2 linked regions of the Struthio camelus genome follow. The protein of the gene in region 2 interacts with the protein of the main gene of each other region in a biochemical or structural test. Links are inferred from orthologs where the notes say so. Each region holds a gene or a part of one and is shown on either strand. Other genes may lie near its edges.

What was found.
Region 1: the proteins of protein S100-A6 (region 2) and CEP43 form a complex in vitro, tested with the Homo sapiens proteins (2 studies listed by BioGRID and IntAct, with this or other methods). The link is inferred for Struthio camelus from reciprocal best matches to the Homo sapiens genes S100A6 and CEP43.

What each region holds. Positions count from the first base shown.
Region 1 is NC_090944.1:88,807,840-88,819,546, forward strand, and holds the start of CEP43 (centrosomal protein 43), read left to right. Parts: upstream 1-7,117; 5' UTR 7,118-7,772; coding exon 7,773-7,862; intron 7,863-11,707. UniProt on the Homo sapiens protein: Required for anchoring microtubules to the centrosomes. Required for ciliation.
Region 2 is NC_090971.1:4,725,118-4,734,518, forward strand, and holds protein S100-A6, read left to right. Parts: upstream 1-6,632; 5' UTR 6,633-6,763; intron 6,764-6,884; 5' UTR 6,885-6,893; coding exon 6,894-7,031; intron 7,032-7,368; coding exon 7,369-7,512; 3' UTR 7,513-7,583; downstream 7,584-9,401. Other genes in the region: S100A16 (protein S100-A16), read left to right, coding at 1-132; protein S100-A4-like, read left to right, coding at 2,448-2,588, 3,112-3,276; protein S100-A4-like, read left to right, coding at 5,311-5,531, 5,670-5,826, 5,969-6,133. UniProt on the Homo sapiens protein: May function as calcium sensor and modulator, contributing to cellular calcium signaling.

The sequences.
Region 1 (11,707 bases), on a different chromosome or scaffold from region 2:
CACGGAAGTTTTGAATGATCACATGCGGGTTTGGAAACAACAGGAAATTTCTGAGGAACAAAGAACCCAAAGGAATGAATCACAAATATCCCACACAAGACTGTTCAGATACTTTCTCAGTACTGTAGTAAAACAGAAAACAGATTCCAGCACCTGTTTCTCTGTTGAGGCATGACTCATAAATACTGAGTGCGATTATTAATTACTATTGTATAGTTTTGAACTATGAGGGATATGTCAAAACCATCCTCCATTAATGCACTTGTGACATATGTGGGCAGATCTGCTTCCACAAGCAAAACAACATTTGTTTTTGACAAATTAACTACAGTTCTTATCATAAAGTCTTTTTTCAAAGTTACATTATTATTCACAGGTGAGATTTTTCAGTTATGTTTACACATTTACACAGTAAGGAGGAAGATAAAGCAAAACTAATCTCTTTGCCCACCTTTCTATGGAAACAGGCCAAGGTTGAATGGAACAAGGGATCCATATGGTTTAGTGTTGTCTCTGACAATGTCTGAGAGGTACCAGAAGTTTCAGAATATCTTTGTCAAAGAGTTAAAAATAGTGAAGTTCTCCAGAGCTGTGCAGTCATCACTCCTCCTCTTGTTGCTGAGGGCATCACCGCTCCATCTGGCACTGAAGTCTTTGCTGCTGCCCGTGAGGAGTCAGTGGACACGAGCACCGAATTATTCTTACTGCCTCAGAAGTTATCGTTGCAGGCTAAGGATGAAGAGTGGGCTGTACCACATGTACAATATAGCTTGCAAGATTTTTTGCTTCGTTGTTATACCTGTTCTGAGGAGCAATAGGGATTTACACTCTGAGGCTGCCGAATTCACACGTCTCTTCACTTTGCGAAAAATAAACCCAGAGATAAGTTTCCCATTACGGTTGTTTGAAAGAGAGATCCAAAGCTGGCATGAAATCATGTAGCCTATTAAGTTATTAAGACAATTAAGTCAGGACTTTTATGTCATGATATCATTACAAAATAGTGCATGTTAACAGAAACTATTACAGAGCTAATATTTTGATGAAAATGAGAAGAGAACGGAGAGCTACTTTGAATCTATCTCCTTAAGACTTTCAATTTAATATTTATTTATATACTGGTAGCAAGGAGAAAATCGTTAACAAATCAAAAAATTTAAATCAAACATTATATCAGATCCAAATGCTGACAACTATAATGAGGAGGAAAGACAAGTTATACTTTTACTGTTTTCGGCCTTTTTTGTGTTAAGACATAAGACGACTATTACTCAGTAATGTGAACAACTGTTGTGGCAACCTGTTTAAAAGACAAAAAAACATCAGACAGTTTTCTCAAATAATCATTTACGAGATAAAAATTGTCCATCTTTCATCAATAGTTGGCAATTACTCAGAAAGGCTATCTCAATACATCTGAGAACATCATGGAATGTTAACAAGCATGTAGAAATATCCAGGTTTATGAACTGGTGCCAAGACTTCATTTCATACCTGCTGCCTGAAATGTAATATTTCTACTAGGTTCTGACACTTGAATGTAGTAAGAGAGAAATTTGGGGGCTTTAGTCTGTGTGAGCAGTACTGTATGCCACTGGTAGCCCCCACCGACTTCATAAGAGACTATTCATTATCATTAAGGCAGAAAGAATTTACAGCACAAGTAAGAAATTAAGTAGACTGAATGATAATCATAAATATTTACATAGAAGCTATGAAAGCTATTGGGACTTTTGACTGTTCCTAAAGTCTATATCCTCACTGTGATATAAGATCTACCTTAACTGCTCACCCGATTAATAGACTGGCAGTCCAATTTCCAGCTCAGTATCTGACAAATATTTGTATCCCACACTATGGGGCCCTTGCTCCACAGTTATACGCACTAATCCTAGGACACAAGCACACACTAACAAGCTTAGAATATCTTCAACTGCTCTTCTGAATTGGGATAAAATTAAGAAGTAGCGAAGTGCTCTCCTGAACTAGAGCCTTAATCACCAACTGATTTAAACTGCATTTTTAGTACTCTATATAATATTCCTAAGAACAAGTTGGACTCCAAAATTTGAGAATCATTGTAATGAAAAATAACTGACCTCATTTGGGTAATTTCTCATTGTAAATAGCATGGTCTGTTATGTCTGTATTGACTTTTCTCTCCTGTTCACTGTTTATTAACACTCATGATGACATGATTATATTTGGTGGAAAATTGAGGGAGAGAATGCCAAAACAGTGGAAAAGTTTCATTTCCATTTTTCCTGAAAATATCATTTTCCTCAAAAATTTCTGAACAAACGTAACTGTATCTGAGATTTTAAAACTCTGTTTATCTGCTGAAATGTGTTGCCTGAAGAAAATAAAACAAAAATGAAGTTGGCATGGTTCAATTTCTTTAAGGATTTTATTATCAAGCACTTCAATCTGAGATTTTAAAACTCTGTTTTTCTAGAAACCAGCAGTGTACATTTAGATTAGGATTTAAGAGTCCAGAATCTTTCTTATTTTGTTCCCCTAACACAATGATTTTTGTTTTGATTATTCCCATTGCACAAATAGAACTCACAAATCTAGCTAGATTTTATTCAGTTTTTGTGTGTTAATGACAATCATCTGCAAAACTCTGATCAGATTCTAGGATGTACATATATTACTGTGTCCTAACTTTCAGTCAATAGAATTGGTCAATGCATGTTTTTTGAAGGCCTGGATTGGATTTATATTGTGTAAAGAGCTTGTAGCAACGCTGCCATTGCATTTTTTTTTGAATGATGCAGTGTCAATTTTATAGCATCTTTGCAAAGCTATATTGGTTTTCCCATGAAAAATACATCTTCTTCTTACTCTGGTAGAATGTTCTTCACATTTACAGTTCTGCAGAAACAATAAAAATAATGTTGGTCTGTCTCTTGTGATGCAGTTAGATGATGTCAGTAAAGGTAGACTTGGGAATTAGATATATTTTAAATGATAACGTTTTCTTTAGAATGGGACACGAGGCAGTTTGAGACTGTTCATTGTCGGCTGGGTAGGAAATTGGACTATTAGCATGCTTCGCTGCCCTCTAGGTGATGAATATTTAGCTAAATAATTTTCTGGTATTTGGCAGTGCTCAAAAGGGGTATATGGAGATTGGATTTGAAATAGTCTAGATACACTGGAGAGCAGGAAGCCAGTGTTATTGCAATGAATTTTACAAACCACAATTCTTTTCGCTGATGAATCATCTTCTAAGTCTACTGAATCTGTCTTTTTGCTTTGCAATCCCTATCAAATATTTTGTCAAGTGGATTTTGTAAGGACAGTCAAACATAATGTCAATACCTATGTCATATTCATATTCTGAAAGCTGGTGTTTTCTGAAACATTTACTTGGAGAGAAAGATTTATATCTGACAAACGTATAGTACACAGCATAGACCTGAAGCCAGATTCCACACTACGGTTTGCCAGCTTAAACAAACAGTTTCTTGTAATTTGGGACAAGGTATATTTGTGGAAATAATTTGCCATAAAATATAAAAGTCTAAATTTAAAGTATTGTTTTTGAAATTGATAATCTAGAATAGTAATCACTATTAATCACTATCAATAGTAATCACTAACAGTGATTTGCCTATAAACCTCCATTTTTTGACATACTATCTAGCAATGTTCATTACTAAATAAATCGTATAATTGCATTTAATTGGAAAATAGCTCTTTATTTCTGCATCTGTGTGATAATAATATGTCTTCCTTTATTTTGCTATACGAGTTACTGGGACAAGCCCTTTATGGAAAACACCAATGAGCAATTATACCTGTGAAACACACATTTTCTCTTTACATATAATATATTGGGGCAATACAAGTACTTTAGTTCCATGACATTTGTTGGGCATGCAGTATCTATATGTGATGGTATCACAAGTGATTTCCAATAACATTTACACCATAAATGCTGCCGTTTTATGTATGTTCCTCACATCTCACAAAAACTATTTAATGAGTATTAGAAGAATGTTGTAAACCTTTATTTAATCTTATAATTTATGACCCTGCCTTTAAATACATGTCATTAAATTATTATAAGTCCCAGTGTGTGTTTCTAAGAGGAAAGTATACAAATCTGTAAAGAGGATTCTGGATAAAATTGGAGCTGGAAATCCAGAGAACAGTTGTAAATGGTATGCTCAGTGAACTAAAGAATGAAGGGAAAAAGGGGATAAGGTAGCAGTTGAAGGTATGAACGCATCTTTTTGAGATAGGAAAGACAGTCAGTTTTGGTTCTAAGGCAAAGAGGAGGAGACAATTAGAGTTTAAGAGGAAACAAGAAAACCTGAGAGCACATGAGGGAAATCAGAAGAGGAAGAATCATTGGGGCAAACAGAATAGGAGGAGACAGGGAAAGAAATGTCTCCATTTCCACTGAAGAGAAAAGGCTGAAGAAGAAAAAAGGAAGGTAAAACCTAGGAAAAAATATTTGATTTATTAAAAAGTGTTTTTAAAAGGAAAAAAGGAAGGGAAAGTCGGGGACTGTAAGCAAGCCTTCTTCCCTGCTCTTCAGCTTTCCCCTGTGAGTTTGAGGGCAGGGAAGGGGAAGAATTTTCATCAAGAAATTGCCAAATCAGTGGTGGAGGAAAAGGCAGTGGATGGTCTGAGTGACTGAGTCTGAAGAAATTGGGGAGTGTTGGAGATGTGATACGAAACACTACCCTCACACATCCATTCCTACCTGGCAGGGAAGATAGCCCTCCAGAGCATCAGGTTTTACTTTTGACTTGCTGGAACTGAAACAGGTGCTGTTGTGGCCCCATCTCCAGAAGCATGGTGGTACCAAAGGAGTCCCCACTCATACCACCCTCGCTGTGGTAACATGAGAGTGGATTCGGTTAAGGTACAGCAGAGTGATTTTGCTAGCTAGATATCAGAAATAAAGGCCAAGCAGTGAGACGTGTGGGGAAGCAGATTGATGTGCGATATGGAGAAAGCCCAAATGCTTGTATCAGAAAAAAGGGGTCAGTAAAGAAACATTGGAGACAGTATTTGTTGCTGAAGAACAAATTGAGAAAACATTCCTTTTGTGCCTGATCTAAACCACAGTTGATAAAACGAATAAATACTATCAGATAAACATATAGCTAAAAAGCTGGCTTGTCATCAAAGTAGCTGTAGTTCAAAGCTTTAGAGTTTTAAAAGATTAGGAGTACATTGTTCTTTAAGTTGATGAGAGTATATGTTTAATTTCATTTTACCCCACAGAAATCCCCAGTGCATATAGATGCATAGCTGTGTATACATGGTTAGCATTGCTAACATGGTTAGGATTGCTAACCATGTTATCCAGCCAAGTAAGTATTTTGCTAATTTTGATACCAACAACATAGTTACAATGTAGTTATACACTTTCCTATTGGTTCCTGTCCTTCCCTACTATTCACAGTTTCATATACCTTTAAACCGTTATCCTCATAATCATTTAGACCCGGACTGTCGCTCACACAAGCTGCAGAGCGGTAGGGTTTGGAGTGAAACCATGACACAGTAGTGTGGGAGGGAGAATAATCTCTGTGGGGTTCTAGTAACAACTTTCCAAAACTGCTGGAGGCATGCAAGTAAATTAACAGACCTTTGGGCCCAGTCCCTGCTGTGCCTGTCAGCTTGGAAGGGAAAGTAGTGTCTATCAACTGTAGAACCGGCACAGAATACATTCCCTCTGGATCACTGACAAAAATAGACCATTTGTGATTACTACAACAGGACCCCAATCTACTCCTATAGAGGTGCTTTTATAAGCTGGTCCATTTCAAAGCTTTTATGGCTGGTAGAAGAACATCACCCTTATTTTGCTGGTTATTTTCCAATCCCTATTCTTCCCTTCCCCTCCCTAGCCTAAAACTCATTTACCAGCTTAGACACTTAATTGTAGTGCCGATCCCTTCAATTGCTTAATATTCCCTCTATCAAGCTAGGCGTCAAGTTTCGGTGAACCAAAACCACCGTCATCATGTCTTTTGGCAGACATACGAGTAAAGCCTTATACCCTGAGACAGCGTGGCTCTTTTGATCATAGTAACATTATAGGGCTTATATGATTATTGGAAATAACAGTTTAACTTTTAACCTATAAGCCTTGTTTTAATTGAACTTGATCACGAAAACTGAAACCTAGTTATTTACCATCTTGTTTCAAGCTTAACATTGAAGTTTATAGTCTATTTTGACTCCTAAATCAATAATGATATATTCTTACTGGTGAGTTAGATATTTCTCAAACCATACAAAGAGAGTGAAAGGTTGCCAATGTTTCCAAGATTGGGAATTTTAAAATGTAATGCTATATTCTTTGTGCAGCAACAGAAATGGGCTCAAACATCCAGCATGCCTCTAGAGGATGTAATAAAAACGGGACAGTACCAGTGACACCTGACTTACCAGGCTTGACTCATATTTAAGACCTCACCGATGAATTAGTGCCACCTACTGCATGCTTTTGAAAGTAGCATCAACCGCCAACAATACCCTTACTATATTCCTCTACGAGGAACGCTTGCATGCTTTGAATATTGCAGAACCACAGAATGGCCAAGGTTGGAAGGGACCTCTGGAGATCATCTAGTCCAACCCCCCCCTGCTCAAGCAGGGTCCTCTAGAGCACGTTGCACAGGATCGCGTCCAGGTGCGTTTTGAATATCTCCAGGGAAGGAGACGCCACAATATTCATGAATTACGAATTTTCTCGCTATATAATTGAATGCTCTTCAAGAAAAATCGTAGAAAGTTCAGAAGATAAGGTTCAGTATGAAAAAAAAAAAAAGCAAAAGATTTTCCCGGGGGCAACGTACAGTGCTGCAAATTAAGCACTGCATCCTAGAAAGCGTTGTATCATTTTTAAGAAATGATAGCGTTGGAGCCTCTTGTTCCTAAGACGCTGCCTGGCGCTTTTAACATAACATAGAGGTTATAAAATAAACACTGTTGACATATTTTAAATACTTTTCGGTCTCTGCTTTGCTTGTGCTGAATGGAGGGGATACGTCTACTTTCCGAGATCTCTCTCAGCCCAGAGAAAATTGCTCCTTCCCCCACCCCTCCCAGAGGACGGGAACAGCGTTTTCCTCTCTGCTGAAACACCTGAGAAGGGGCAGGAGAGGGGTTCTTCGCTCCTTAAAGCGGTTTCAGGTTCTTCGTCGTCGTCCCCCAACCCCTTTCTTTCGGCGCTGGAAAGAGCCGAGTGCGAGAGAAGACCGGCCCTAGGTGACCTCGCTTCCCCACACCCCCTCCCCGCGGCCGTTACAGCCCGCGCGGCCGTTGGGCGCGAGCGCGGCCCGGCGCGAGTCCCGCGCACGCTGCCAAGGTCTGCCCGGCCAGGGGAAAGCACCAAGCTGGAAAGGGGCCCAGGGAATGGTTACAGGGACCCAGCAAGTAGCGCGGCCACCAGCTCTGCCGCCGCGGTGACGTTGAAGACGAACAAAGGCGTAGCTCGGCCGTTAGCGCCCATCACCCGCTTTAAACCTCCCGCCCGCCAATCGCGGCGCCGGCAGTCGCGCTGCTGATTCGCCGCTACACTTTCCAGGCGCCGCGGTTTGGGGGGGGGGAGGGGGTGTTGGGTGGTCGCGGCCTCGTTGTGTCCCCTTTCGGGCCGCTACTGAGGACGGCCACCGGCCGGCTGCGCCCCGTTTCCTCGGGTCCGCTGCTGGGTTAGTGCCTCCCTCGGCCGCGGAGGCGAATCTGCCGGGCTCGTCCTACCGCTAGCGCAGTTTGGGCGGTTGTCAGGGAGAAACAAGATGGCGGCCGCAGCGGCGGAGGAGGACACAGAGCTGCGGGACCTGCTGGTGCAGACGCTGGAGAGCAGCGGGGTGCTCAATAAAATTAAGGTGGGGGAAGGAGAGCCTCGCGTTGGCGCGCGCACCTCGCGAAGCGCAGAGCGGGGAAGAGCCCTGGCTGGCGCCAGCGGCAGTTAACGACCGCGCACGGGGGGAGGGGCCGGGCCGGGGCTCCGTCCCCTCTCCCTGGCGCGTCTTAGCCGGTGTTCCCGGCCGGGCCCTGTGCCGGCGCCGTGGCCTGGCGGGGGCGTCTGCCGCTCCCCGGCTGCTCTGCCTAGGGCTCGGCGAGGAGCCGGGTCCAGCGCCTGTCTTGCGAAGTGGAGCTGGTACGTGCTCGCCGCGGGCCCGGGCGGGAGGCCTGACCGCGGCTTGACGTCTGCCTGGCGGCCGCAGCGTTAACGAAAGCGCCGAGGTGGGGAGAGGGAGGGCAGCCCGCGGCCGCCGCAGGGATCCCGGCGTCTTGAGTGGGCGCTTTCGGGCCCGCAGACACGCTGTGGTCGCAAGAGCTCTATTGTTGCTTCTCTCCTGCTGCTGCTAAAGCCGCTGCAAACGTTCAGCGGCCGGGTCGTGTTGGATGGTGTGGACAAGGTTTCTCTCTGATTCGACCGAAAAATCGCCATTGAAAATTTAAAGCAGGAATCGTTGAGGGTTGCTGCTTATACACGGCATCTTTTGAGTTCGGGTGAGCTTAAGCTGCGTCTTGAAGGCCTAATAAACAAGGGAAGTGCCGAGGGATGCTGCTAGCTGCACGGCACAAATACTGCTATGTTAAGAAGTTATGCGGAGGACAGTGTTTAGTGGGGTGTAAGGTTTTCTCCATTGTAATTGCTTCCATGTCTGTAATGTAGCCTGGGCTGACATCCTGTCAGCAAGGATATGAAAACTGGTTCTAAGGGTTCTTCTTCAAGTTAGAAGCTTCCAGCAATAACTATTGTGCATAGCAAAGAGCCATACAGTTATCACAGCATATGAGCTGTTGGACCATCTTCTAAGCCAGGAGAGAAATGAAGTTTGAGTTTCAAATCACAGATGGTGATATTTTTTCCCTGCAAAGTACTACAAGTATTTCCAGAGGTAGATGATCACTGACACTTCAGGATCAGTTTAATGACTGAAACAATTGATGGAATTAAGAGTATCTGTGTGTGTATACAAAGAAAATAAAAAGTCACTTCCTTTAAAGTCCATTGGATATTTGGCTTCCAATGGATTCCATAGTGTTCAATAACACGGTGTTACTGAAATTGTTGCTCCTGCAGTTTTGGAAGAGTAGTCCTTATTTAAATTTCATAAGTAGATGAAGATCCCAGTTCATGTAACTATGTTTTGAGTAGGGAAAGCTTTTTCTAGATAAGTATCAAATAGGCCTTTTGGACCACCCATTAACCTCTTGTGTCATATTAACTAAAAAAAATAGTGAAAATAATAGCAACAATTAAAAAAAACCACAAGTCCGTTAGGTCGTTTGGAGTATATAAACTGTAGTTTCTTAATTCCAGTCTTTGTGTAGTATACAAGTTATTGTACTGCACTTGCCAGTTTGCTGAGTTTCATGTAAATATGTTTATTGTAATCTTCGCTATGCTATAATGCTAAAGTTGTAGTATCCAGTATGGCTCAATTTATCCTTAACGCAAAATAGCAAACAACTTAGAAAAATGCAGACTGCATCCTATTTACCAGTATATTGCTCTTCTTAATACTGGGAGTTATTGCCTTGTAAGTGGTATGCTTATGGCTAAGGCCATGCATTCTGCAAATTAATAGGATTTCTTCTTAGTTGTAAATCTTAACTGCCACACTAGTTTGGCTATCTGTTGATTGTTAGTATGAGTAACTCATGGAATTTGTTTTGTTTGGCACTTGAAAATAGTCCTTTGTCTTCCAGAAGAGTCCAGAGTAAACTGGTCTCCTTAAAAGGTTGGCTTCTAATTTAAATTAGATTATACCATGCATAAAAAATGGACATCGTGCTTTCATTAAATTAAACATATTTGTGCTCAGTACTGTTTCCTTAACTATTGCAAATGTGTCAGTATATTTTATTATGTGGGAGAACTGTGAGAAAATGAACAATTGCTTTGCTACTATGTAAATTGTATACACCAAAATGAGCACTGCTCATCTTCCAAGATGGGTGAGGCTAGAAAGTAAATTATAGCGATGTGTCTGAGACTTGTTAGAATAGACACATTAGAAAACAAATTATATTGCTGAAAGTATGGCTTCATTGGTGTGAAGAAAACTCTGGTAAAACAAGTAAAGAAAGCTCTGGAAGGATTAGAATTAGAATGTACAAGGCTGTCAAAATTTACATATGGGAACATATAACAATTACTTTATCAGTCATTATAAAAGAAGAGAACTTTGGTGACACCTTTGTCCTTCAGTATACAACATGATTGTACAATGGGTTACAGTTTTAGGTTTTTTTTTTTGAGGTTAATTTCTTGGGCATATTGGTTTTGATGTAAATTGTTTAGCTGGAAAATAGTAATAATAAAAAATCTTAGTTACCTTGTAGACAAGTCCCAAACAGATTTTTAAACTGTCATACTTACCTTGGGCTTTGAGCACAGGAGAGTTTAATAAAGTAATACATTTACACAACTTCCAGTTTTCACAATGTTTGCCGCGTCTAGTTGAAACATTTCCTATTTTTAGAGTGCAGATCAGACTGCTTCCTTTTGAATATCATAAGAATGCTCATCTAAAATATAATTCTATATATTTGTACTTCATTGAAAACTTTTACTGATACTGCACGTGTGATGCATTCCGTACAATTACAGAAGACGTTCTCTCTTGAAGAGCATGTGAGCCTTCTCTGGCCTAGGGAAGCTGTCATCATCTGAACAAGAAGAGTGATTCTTCTTATTGTCTTCCTTTGTCGTCTTATTTTGTGTTTTGCTTTGTATCTTTTAATCTCTTTTCTCCTGGAAAAATAAGTTTATGCTACCTTAGTTTTATGGCATCGCTGGAACTTGCTGTTACTACAAATACGGGGGAAATCAAACATTACAAAAATTGTATGACTGATAATGCTTCTGGCCAGATGATACTGTTCTTGCTAATTTGATTCAAAATCTAAAAAGTTGAGGTACTTGCAAAAAACGTGTTGAGGGTAAGAGACAAGAGTTAAAATGAAATATTGTTTGTTTAAAATCATCTATTAACTGTATTTTTGTAGGTAAATTAAAATTGTTAGATTTATTTTCTCATGTCCCTTCCATGTATTATAATGCATAATGCTTTTAAATGTCTTTGAATTATTAACCATCATGATCAGTATACTGTATACTACAGTGTAATCTCTTGCGGTTTTGCAGCTGGTTTTTTAAAAGCAGTTTGTTTCCGAAAGCCAACTCATTTATTGGAATCAAGGGGGAAATTTAAATTTATACTTAACACTTCTTTCTATAATTTCTTATTTTTATAAATAACAACTTATATTGATTTCCGTTTAACGGAAATTCAACATTTAAATGTGAGTATGGTGGTCTTGCTGTTTTGGATGTATCCTACCTTTAAGAACATGAGTGAGAATTGCTTGCGAGATGCAAAGTAAGAGCATGATAAACTGCAGTAATAGCTGCAGGTATGTAGAACTTATGTATTTTAGATATTTACTACTTCTCCCTGATATGAATTTTCCTCTTTCTTTTCCCAGCGTTTTCTTTTCCATTATACAGCCTGACAGCTTAACTTATTGAGTCAATTAGGGCTGCTTAAACTAAGTTGAAGGATTTTGCCCTGAAGGGGACAAAGAATAGTCGCATCAACTACTGACTATACTCAAAGATAAGAGAACATCACAAACTGTAAAGGTGAGGAGTGACAGAAAAGGTACTGAGTAACATCATTAGTGAAGTTGCTGTTTCCGGGTTGGTGCCAGC
Region 2 (9,401 bases):
ATCTGCGACCTGGATGAGAACAAGGACGGGCGCATCAGCTTCGAGGAGTACTGGACCTTGATCGGCGGCATCGCCAGCCCCATCGCCCACATCATCCGCCAGCAGGAGCAGAGCGTCAAGCACACCAAGTAGCCGGCCGCCCCCCACCCCGCCAGCCCCCCGCGGCTCCTCGCCTCCTCCGCCAGCCCCCCGGGGGGACGCCGGGCGCGGGCAAGAAGGGGCCGGTTGCTCCCCGCTCCCGGGCCGTGCCCCGGGCGAGCGGAGCCAGCAGGCGGGAGCCCCCTTCTTGCCCCCCCGCCCTTGCCGGCCTCGACCTCGCGGGGGCACCAAGCGGAAGGGAAGTCTTGCCTCATCGAGGACACGAGTGCTGTCCGTTCTCAGACCTCCGCCCTGGCTCTGGGGCACGGCCCCGCTGGCAGAAACCCCGCGGCTGCAGCGACCCCCTCTCCCCTCGGTTGGGGGGGGGTTTGTCTCCTTCCCCCCTCCCACATGCCAGGACTTCTTGGAAAAACGGTGTCTTTCCCTCCGGCCCAAGCTGGTGAAGGCTCTGGCCCCGCCGCGCCGCCTGGCCCTGGGGGCGGCGGGCGAGACCTGCCTGCTTATTTATTGCAGCAATAAAGTGTGGAGGAGCAGCGGGTCGGGCCGAGGCTCTGCCTTCGCGTGGGGTCTGGGGGGGGTCCGGGGGGGTCGTGCCCGCTCCTCCCCAAACCTGCCGCCGCGGGCCGGCAGGAGCCGCTGCAGCAGCTCGGCAGCAGCACAGCCCCGGGGGGGGGGGTTGCTTCACCCCCCTCCGGCCCCCCCGGGGCTCGGGCTTCCCGGGGGCGCATCCGCGGGGGCCGGGCTGGCGGCGCGTCCCGTCCCGTCCCGTCTGTCCCCTCCGTCCTGTCCCATCCCATCCCGTCCGTCCCGTCTATCCTGTCCCATCTATCCCGTCCCCCCTGTCCTGTCCCGTCCCGTCCCGTCCCGTCCCGTCCCGTCTGTCCCCTCCGTCCTGTCCCGTCCTGTCCGTCCCGTCCCGCCCCGTCCGTCCCATCTCCCCCGTCCCGCCCCGTCCCGCCCCCGGCGCTGGCTCGTTGCCCGACTCTCGGCCCCGGCGCCGCCCGGGGATTTTCCACTGGGAGGAGACTTGGCTCCGGGTGGGGGCGGTGGAAGGCGGGGGGGGGGGGGATGCCAGCGCCTCGGGGCCGGCCCCATCCTCCTCCTCCTCCTCCCGCTCCTCCGCGGCCCCGCAGCCGCCGCCACGCGCGAGCGCGGGTCCCACGCGAGTCCGGCAGCAGGAGCGCGCTCGGCCCCGGCCGCCGGCGCGGGCACCCAGGGGCGCAGCGGCGGCAGGGGAGAGCAGGGGGGGATGCGCCGCGCTGGGGACCGGGCGCCTGGCCCGCCGGCCCAGACCCGCTAGAGAAGTCCCGTCCCCGGCACGCTCCCCCCGTCGGACCCAGGCGTCCGGGCCAGCGCTGGGGGCCGCTTCCCGCGCCCGTTTCGCTCAAGGCCGGGCCCGTCGTTTCCCGCTCCGGGTGCCCGAACGGGCGCTGGGCGCACGCCCGCGCGCGGGGGACCCTTTGCACGGTGCCACGTGGCGGGCGGGAGAGGAACGGCGCAGGGTGCGGATGGGGCCGCCCGGCTCTGCAGCTGCTCCCAATTTCGGGAGCTCCAGCCCTCCATCCCGTCCCCGGCACCACCGCCCCCGGGCGCCCGGCGCCAGCTGCTCACCGCGCCGCGGCGTTGCAGCAGCCGCGAGGCCCCACGCGGCCCCCGACGCTCCCTGGTGCTGTCACCCCCGTGGCGGGCGCCCGGACCCCCGGACCCGGCTGCTTTACCCCGCGACGAGGGCAAACGTTTGGGGCTCGCGCCCCCTCCTTGGGAAACGAGGGCTGGGCGGGTGCAGGCGGATCCAGGACTCTGGCGTCGCCAGGACCTCCCGGCCCCTGGCACTGGGAGGAAGGGTCTGTCCCCGCACAGCCTGGCGCATCTGGGGTCGGGGGACGCCACGCGGCAGCCCCCGGCAAAACGCTGCGCTCGCCTCGCCGCCCCCCTTGCAGCGGGGTCCGCGCGCCCCGTCTCGGCGGGACTGCAGCTGCCGGTGGGGGGCTGACCCAAACGCCACCGCCGCCCGCTAACCGCATCACACGGCCCGATGGGCAAAAACCAGGCGTGGGCGAAACCGCCGGCGCGGAGGCGCTGGGAAAGCCCGGGGGCTGCGCGGGGCAGCGCCGCCCCGGCCCGGGTATAAAGGTCGGTGCACGGCGGCAGCGACACCCCGGCTCCTTGCAGACCCCCGCCAGCGGCACTGACCCCGGTGAGTCGTCGACCCCCCCCCCCCCCCCCGCCGCGGTTTGCACCCCTGCGGCGATTGCACCCAGCCGGGCCCCGAAACGCCTCTCCGGCACCGCCGACCCCTTTCGGGGGGTCTGAGCGCGGCGGCCCGGCTCTGCCCGCAGGAGCTGGCCATGGCGTGTTCCCTGGAGCAGGCGCTGACCGCCCTGGTCTGCACCTTCCACAAGTACTCCGGCAGGGAAGGCGACAAGTACAAGCTCAACAAGGCCGAGCTCAAGGAGCTGCTGAACAAGGAGCTGCCGGTCTTCGGGAGCGTAAGTGGCCCCGGGGCAGGGCGCTCCCCGGCTCGTCCTGGCGGGGTGCGAAGCGGGCCGGGGGGCTGCGCACGGCCCCCGCGCAGCGCCCTGAGCCCCCGGCCCGGCCACGCACCGGCCGGGCGCCGGGAGGACCCGGGCTGGAGCAGGCTCCTCGCAGGCCCGCAAACGGCCGTAGAGATATTTTGATTGGCAAAACAGTTGCGTGCTGATTTCTGCTTTTTATCTCCCCTCCCCCCCCCGTTTTTTTTTTTTTCTTTTTGCATTTCCTCTTCTGGTTTCCAGTTTAATTCGGGAGGGAGCCGAAATCTGGCAGATTTTTTTCATGGTCGAAAACCACACGTGCTATAGAGCCGTGCCCAGGAGCAGCCAGCGCACCCCGCCTGCGTGGCCACCGCCTTCCCAAGGGGGACGGGGGCGGCGCGGGGAGCCCAGCGCTCGAGCCCCTGTTTGCACCCTCCCGTGGGAGCAGCCGGCCGAGCCCCGAACCGGCCCGCGCCCCGACCCCTCTCCTCCCTCGCAGGGGCAGATGGACGAAGGGGAGTTCAGGAGGATCATGAACGACCTGGACCACAACAAGGACAGCGAGGTGGACTTCCAGGAGTTCGCCTGCTTCATGGCCTGCATCGCCATGGGCTTCAACGAGTTCTTCAAGGATTGCCCTTCCAAGCAGCGCCGCCAGAAGTGAGCCCCGGCGCCCACCGCCCCGCGGCCCCCGGCACGGCATCGCCGCCGCCGTGCGTTCAATAAAAGCCTTTGCAAAGCCTCCGCGCGCGTCCGCAGGGGGTTTCTCGGCGGGGGCCGAGCGCGGGGTCGCTGGCGCGGAGGCGGCGCCCGCCGCTCCCTCCCGCCGGCTCGTCCCTCCCTGGGATTTTCCATGGCGCAGCTCGGCCCCGGGAGCCGGCGCACGCTTTTGGGAAAATTGGAGCAGAGCTGCTCGGAGCCGTTTCTGGGCAACGCACGCAGCCCAGCTAAACATCCCACCAGCACCAGCCCTGCGGGCGCCGCTTCACGTTTAACTCGAACCACATGAGCTTCCCCGCGCCCGGCTCGGCTCGCAGGCTAGCGCGGCCAACACGAGCGCGGGGAGCGGAGCAACACGCAGGGTCCAGGCGGGGCCTGAAGGCTGCAGCCGGCCCCCGGCAGGGAAAAGCTGCGGCTGGAGGAGACCCTTCCCCGCAGCCCCCCGGACGCGGATGAGCCCATGCCGGGGTGCTGCCGCGCGGGAGCCAGACCCGCGCTCGCCCCGGCCTCCCCCAGCCACCGCCGGGCTGCGGGCGACGGCAGTTTCCGGGCACCTCGCCCTGCGATACCGGCTGGGCAGGATGTGGCTCACCCTGCCGCAGCCTCGTCGGCTCCCTGCAGGTCCAGGCTGGCTCGCAGGGAGCGTCGCTGCTGCTGCTGCTCCTCCTCCTCCTCTCCAGCCGTGCCCAGCAGCCCCAAACCCCGGAGGAGCAGCCCTGGGGCTGGAAACGCCCTTGCAAAGCTTCTGCTCCAACGCACGGCCAAGCCGAGCGCCCTGCAAAGCATCTCCCCACACCCCCAGCAGCTCCTTCCCCAGCCCCACCAGCAGCTCCCAGCTCTTCCCTCCTCTGTCCTGCTCTTCTTAAAGGCAGCCGGGCCCCAGGCAGCCTCTCCCCCCGCCCCAGGAATTTGCACCGGCTTGCACCCGTTTCTTAACGGGGAGATGAGGGCCAGGCTTGGGGGTTCGTTTGGCCAAAAGGCTCCTTCCAGCATCCCCTCCCTGGGGGATGCTCCTGGTGGTGCCGGTCCTGGCCCCCGGCCGCGCTCCCCGGCGAAGGGCAGGGAACCCCCCGGCGGAGCTGGGGTGCCCGCAGCACCCAGCGCTGCTCCGGGAGCAGGGGAGGCCCCGGGGACCCGGCCCGCCGCTGCCTTCCCAGCGGAAACCCCTCCTGCGCCCGCCTCTCTTTTTTTCCTGTTTTTTTTTTTTCTTTTTTTTCCCCCTTGTTTTTCTGGCCCGGGTCCCCGCGGCGGCGGGCGCCCCTCTGCCGAGCGGGGGGCCTCGCGGGGAGGCGGCCAGGGCTGCGGGCCGTCCCGCGCGGCTCCCTGGCACGCGCCGAGGCCACCCGAGCGGCGCTCCGTCGTGCAAGGCGGCCGCGGGAATCCCAGCTCGCCTGCGAGCGGCTTGCGTTACAAGCAGAGGGAGGGAAGCAAAAAAACAACAAGCAAACAAACAAACAAAAAAGCAGCAAACCCCAACAGCAGCGAAGCCACCAGCGAAGGCCGGCGGGGGCCGGAGCGGGGGCCGCCCGCGCGCCTGCTCCCGCCAGCCCGCTCAGCCCCTCCGCTCGGGCGGCGATTGCCGTGGTTAAGCTCGCTGAGCCCAAGGAGGGGTAAAAGCTCGTCCGCCACCCGCCGCCGAGGGGTCGGCTTTGGCCAAGAGGCCGCTCGTGCCCCGGGGTCCCTCCTTGGCCAGGGGTCTCCCAGCCCCCAAATCTTGCTCTTTTCAACCCACAGCAGCCCCGAGGCCGGCTGGGGAGGGCAGGACCAGCCGGGAGGGCTGCGCCGGGGCGGCCGCCGCTGCTCTCGGGGGTTCCTCTCTTCTCCTGCCAGCCAATGTCTGGACGGACGCTGGAGCAGCATTGGTCCCTCTCCATCCCCATAGCGCGGGGGCGTCCCCGGCGGGGCTATAAATGCTGCGGCATCGTGCCGGCTCCGCTCCCACCCTGCGGTTTGAGCTGTTGGTGAGTTGTTTTTTCCTATGACGTCCTGGCGTCCTCCTCCCCGCCGTTCCTCTGGACGCTGCTGCTGCTGCTGCTGCTGCTGCTGCTGCTGCGCCTGGGCCGGCGGCTGGCAGCGCTCGGGGCTCGGCGGCCCGGGGGGGGCAGCTGGCTCCCCGCTGCTTCCCCCCTCTGCCTGGCTTCTCTTGGCGGCGTCCTGCCCCAAACGGAGCGGCCGGCGGGTGCATCTGGGGAGGAAACGGTGATGCATCCCCGTGCACGCCTGGGTGGTGGGTGCCTGCCCTGGAGCAGCCCCCGGGGAGGGGGACGGGACACCGCAGCCCCCGTTTGCAGGGCTTCCCGGCTCCGGCTCACCCGCTCCGGCTCTCTGTGCCCGCAGACTGGCCGGTGTCCCCATGGCGTGGCCGCTGGAGCAGGCGCTGGCCGTGATGGTCTCCACCTTCCACAAGTACTCGGGGAAGGAAGGGGACAAGTACAAGCTGAACAAGCAAGAGCTCAAGGAGCTGCTCACCAAGGAGCTGCCGAGCTTCATCAGCGTAAGCGTGGGGCGGTGGCCCGTGGTGGCCCGCGGTGGCCCGTGGTGGCCTGGGGGGCTGGCGCCATGCAGGGCTCCCCCCTGCCGGGGCGTTCGGCCCGCCGTGCAAACCGCCCGCTTGTCCCCATCTCTCCCCTCGGCAGAAACAAACGGATGAGGCCGGCTTCCAGAAGCTCATGAGCAACCTGGACAGCAACAAGGACAGCGAGGTGGATTTCCAGGAGTACGCGACCTTCCTGGCCTGCGTGGCCATGATGTGCAACGACTTCTTCCAGGGCTGCCCGGACAAGATGCCGCGGAGGAAGTGAGCCGGGCGGCGGGCCGGGGCCGCGGTCGCCCCCGTCACCCCTGCACCACCGTAGGAGGAATTTAAAGAATTCCTCCTATTCTTTAAATAAAGGCTGCTTTCAACGAAGCCCTCTGCGAGCGGGTTTTTTGCCGGGGGGACGTGGGCTGGGATCCCACCGCGCCGGGCAAGGCCCTGTCCACCTGCAGTTTGCGGAGGCAGGTGGTGCCGGACGGCGCCGCTTCGGAGCCGGAGCGTGGGCACCCCGCTCGCCCCGCGTGCCGGCGGGGGTCAGCGGCAGACCCCGCCGGCCGCCCTCGGGCATCGCCCGCATCCGCTCCCTTTCCCACCCTGCGGCTGCGCAGGGCTCGGCGGGGACTTTGCCCCGGGATGGATGCCTCCCGACGGGCTGGGAACGGGGATAACGGGGACGGGGAGCAGCTCTTCCGGCCCGCATCCCCGGTGACTCGGCTGGCCCGGGCCCGAGGGGGCGGGCGGGGGGGCCGCGACGTGCCCCCCCCCCCCCCGGCTCTCGGTGCGCAGGGGAGGGGCTGCCCCGGCCCCCGCCGCCCTGGGAGGAGCCGGCGCCCGGCTATAAAAGCGGGGAGGAGGCGGCGCCGCCGCTGCTCTTCCTGCCGTCCCGCCGCCGTCGGTGAGTGTCCCCTGCCCCTGCCCCTGCCGCCGCGCGGGGGAGGGGGGGCGCCGCGCGTGGGAGGCCGCGGCGTGGGTCGCGCGTGGGCCGCCCCCGCTGAGCGCCCGGCCGGCCCCCGCAGCCGCCAGCCATGGCCGCCCCCCTGGACCAGGCCATCGGGCTCCTCGTGGCCATTTTCCACAAGTACTCGGGCAAGGAGGGCGACAAGACCACGCTGAGCAAGGGCGAGCTCAAGGAGCTCATCCAGAAGGAGCTGACCATCGGGCCGGTGAGTGGTGGCGGGGCGCCGCCGGGGGCCCCCCGGCTCCTGCCCGACGGGGCCCCCCGAGACGGAGCGGCAAAACCGGCGTGGGCAGGGGACGGCCGTGCCAAGAGGTGCCCCGTCACCTGGGGCACCCGGCGCTTGGCGAGGCGGCCGAGGAGCCGGGGGTCCCGTCGAGGGGTCCCGCGGCATCTCCCGGCCCCGCAGCCCGCCTGCCTGCGGCCCCGGCTCCGGCGCCTGGCAGCGATGCCCGAGCCCCCGGCCCGCGCCCCCGGGGCGGCCGGCCTTCGGGGCGGCCCCCTCCCCATCCGCTGACGGCTCCCTGCTCTGCTCCGCGCCGCAGAAGCTGCAGGAGGCCGAGGTCGCCGGGCTCATGGAGGACCTGGACCGCAACAAGGACCAGGAAGTGAATTTCCAGGAGTACGTCACCTTCCTGGGAGCCCTGGCCATGATCTACAACGAGGCGCTGCTGCAGTACAAGCAGTAGAGCCGGGCCCCCCGGGGCTCCCCCCGCCTCCGGCGCCCAATAAAATTCCTTTTTGTAAAGTTCTGCTATGAGTTTGGTGTCGTTTTGGAGTCTTTAATAAAAAAAAAAAAAACATGAGATTTTAAGTTTTTTTTTTTTTTCCCCGTCCCCTCTGGGTGGTGTTGCCCGCAGGGAGGCCCTGGGCGGGGGGACGAGGGCAGCCGGAGAGCCCGGGAGGAGGGGGCAGCTCGGGGGAGGGGGCACGGGGTGGGCAGAGCTGCAGCCGGGGCTCGTGTCCCGCAGGGCCGGACCCGTCCGCGGGCTGGCGGTGCCCTGCCCGTTCCCCGGGGCAGGATGCCGTTCCCAATTTGGGTGGGGTGGGGAGGACATCGCTCTCTGGAGAGAGGTCCCGAGCATGAGCGCAGGGTGTCAGAGGGCCGGGGCGGTTGGTGGAGGGCTCGGGGTGGATTTGCAGCTAGAAAATCGGGAATAATGTGGATTTTTCCCAGCCGGGAAAACAGCTCTTTGCGTGTCCTCTCTGCTCAAACGCAGGGTGCAGAGGCTGCTTCGGAAACGCGTGGGGTCACCCCAGCGTCCCCACTGGCATCAGGAAGCAAAAACCTCTCCAGCCTCCCCCAGGCTCAGGGAGCCCCCCCGACTACCCCCCTGCAGCCCCCCTGCATCCTGCATGAGGGGGATCCCCCCCCCCCCGATGCCTTTTACATCCTGGCTCTTTTTGTGCCTGATCTGGGATTTTGGCACACCAGAGGCTGGCATGACTGCAGGGCGATAGTGCCTCTTCCATGGGTATCCCAGCCTGCCTGTACGGATCTGCCCCCTGCCTTGTCCTCGGGGCTGCGCCGGTGCAAACACCAGCACCCCGTGCAAACTCCAGCACTGCATGAAAATGCCAGCACCCCGTGCAAACACCAGCACCCCGTGCAAATGCCAGCGCCCCGTGCAAACGCCAGTGCCCCGTGCAAATGGCAGCGCCCCATGAAAATGCCAGTGCCCCGTGCAAACACCAGCACCTCGTGCAAACGCCAGCACCCCGTGTAAATGCCAGCGCCCCATGGAAACGCCAGCGCCCTGTGCAAACACCAACGCCCCATGCAAATGCCAGCACCCCGCGGCGGCTCGTGCCCCGAGGCCAGAGCAGCAGCTGGGGTTGCCGCGGCCGGGAGCAGGACCTGTGCCAGGAGCTCCCGGCGCGCCCAGGCGCGTTGCGTGCGCGGCGCGTCCAACGGCAGGTGGCAGCACGGTGACCGGTGGCGCCCGCGTGTCCCTTCACACCTCCGAAGCTGGCACACGCACGTCCCGCATGTACCGCCCGGCTCCTTCCCACCCCTTCCAGGACGAGGCTTCCCGGCGTCCCGCTGAGGACGGGGCAGGCGCCACGGCGGAGGTGACAGAGCCTGCAACGTCACAGCAAAATGCACACAGTACCGCCAGGGATGGAGCGCTTGCCTCCGAGGGGCTTGCAGGGCTCGAGCATGCGGGCGGCACAGCCTTGGCATGAGCCCCCCCCCCTTCCCAAATTCAGCACCCGCGATCCTGTTGGGGTGGCGGGAGCCGGAGGCCGGGAGCCCCGCGGCGCCTCGGGCGAGCCGTGCCGGCCCCGGCGCCGGGGAACGTGGCGGGAGCTGGAAGCAGCTGCCCGTGCCCTCGGTTTTCAGCAGATAGCAGCAGCCGATGCTGGGAAACGACGCTCTGAAGCGCGCCCGGCCGATTCCCGGCACGCAGACCTGTCTGGATTTGTAGCATCTTTCTTGGCTCCGCAGCGGAGCTGTTGAGAAACCGTTTCTGTGGGGTGCGGGTTTGTGACTTGGGGGAGCCGAGCAGCAGGACGGGACCCGTCACCCCGCCGGCACCCAGACCGCGGGCCAGGGATGCAGCTCATGACTCTTCCT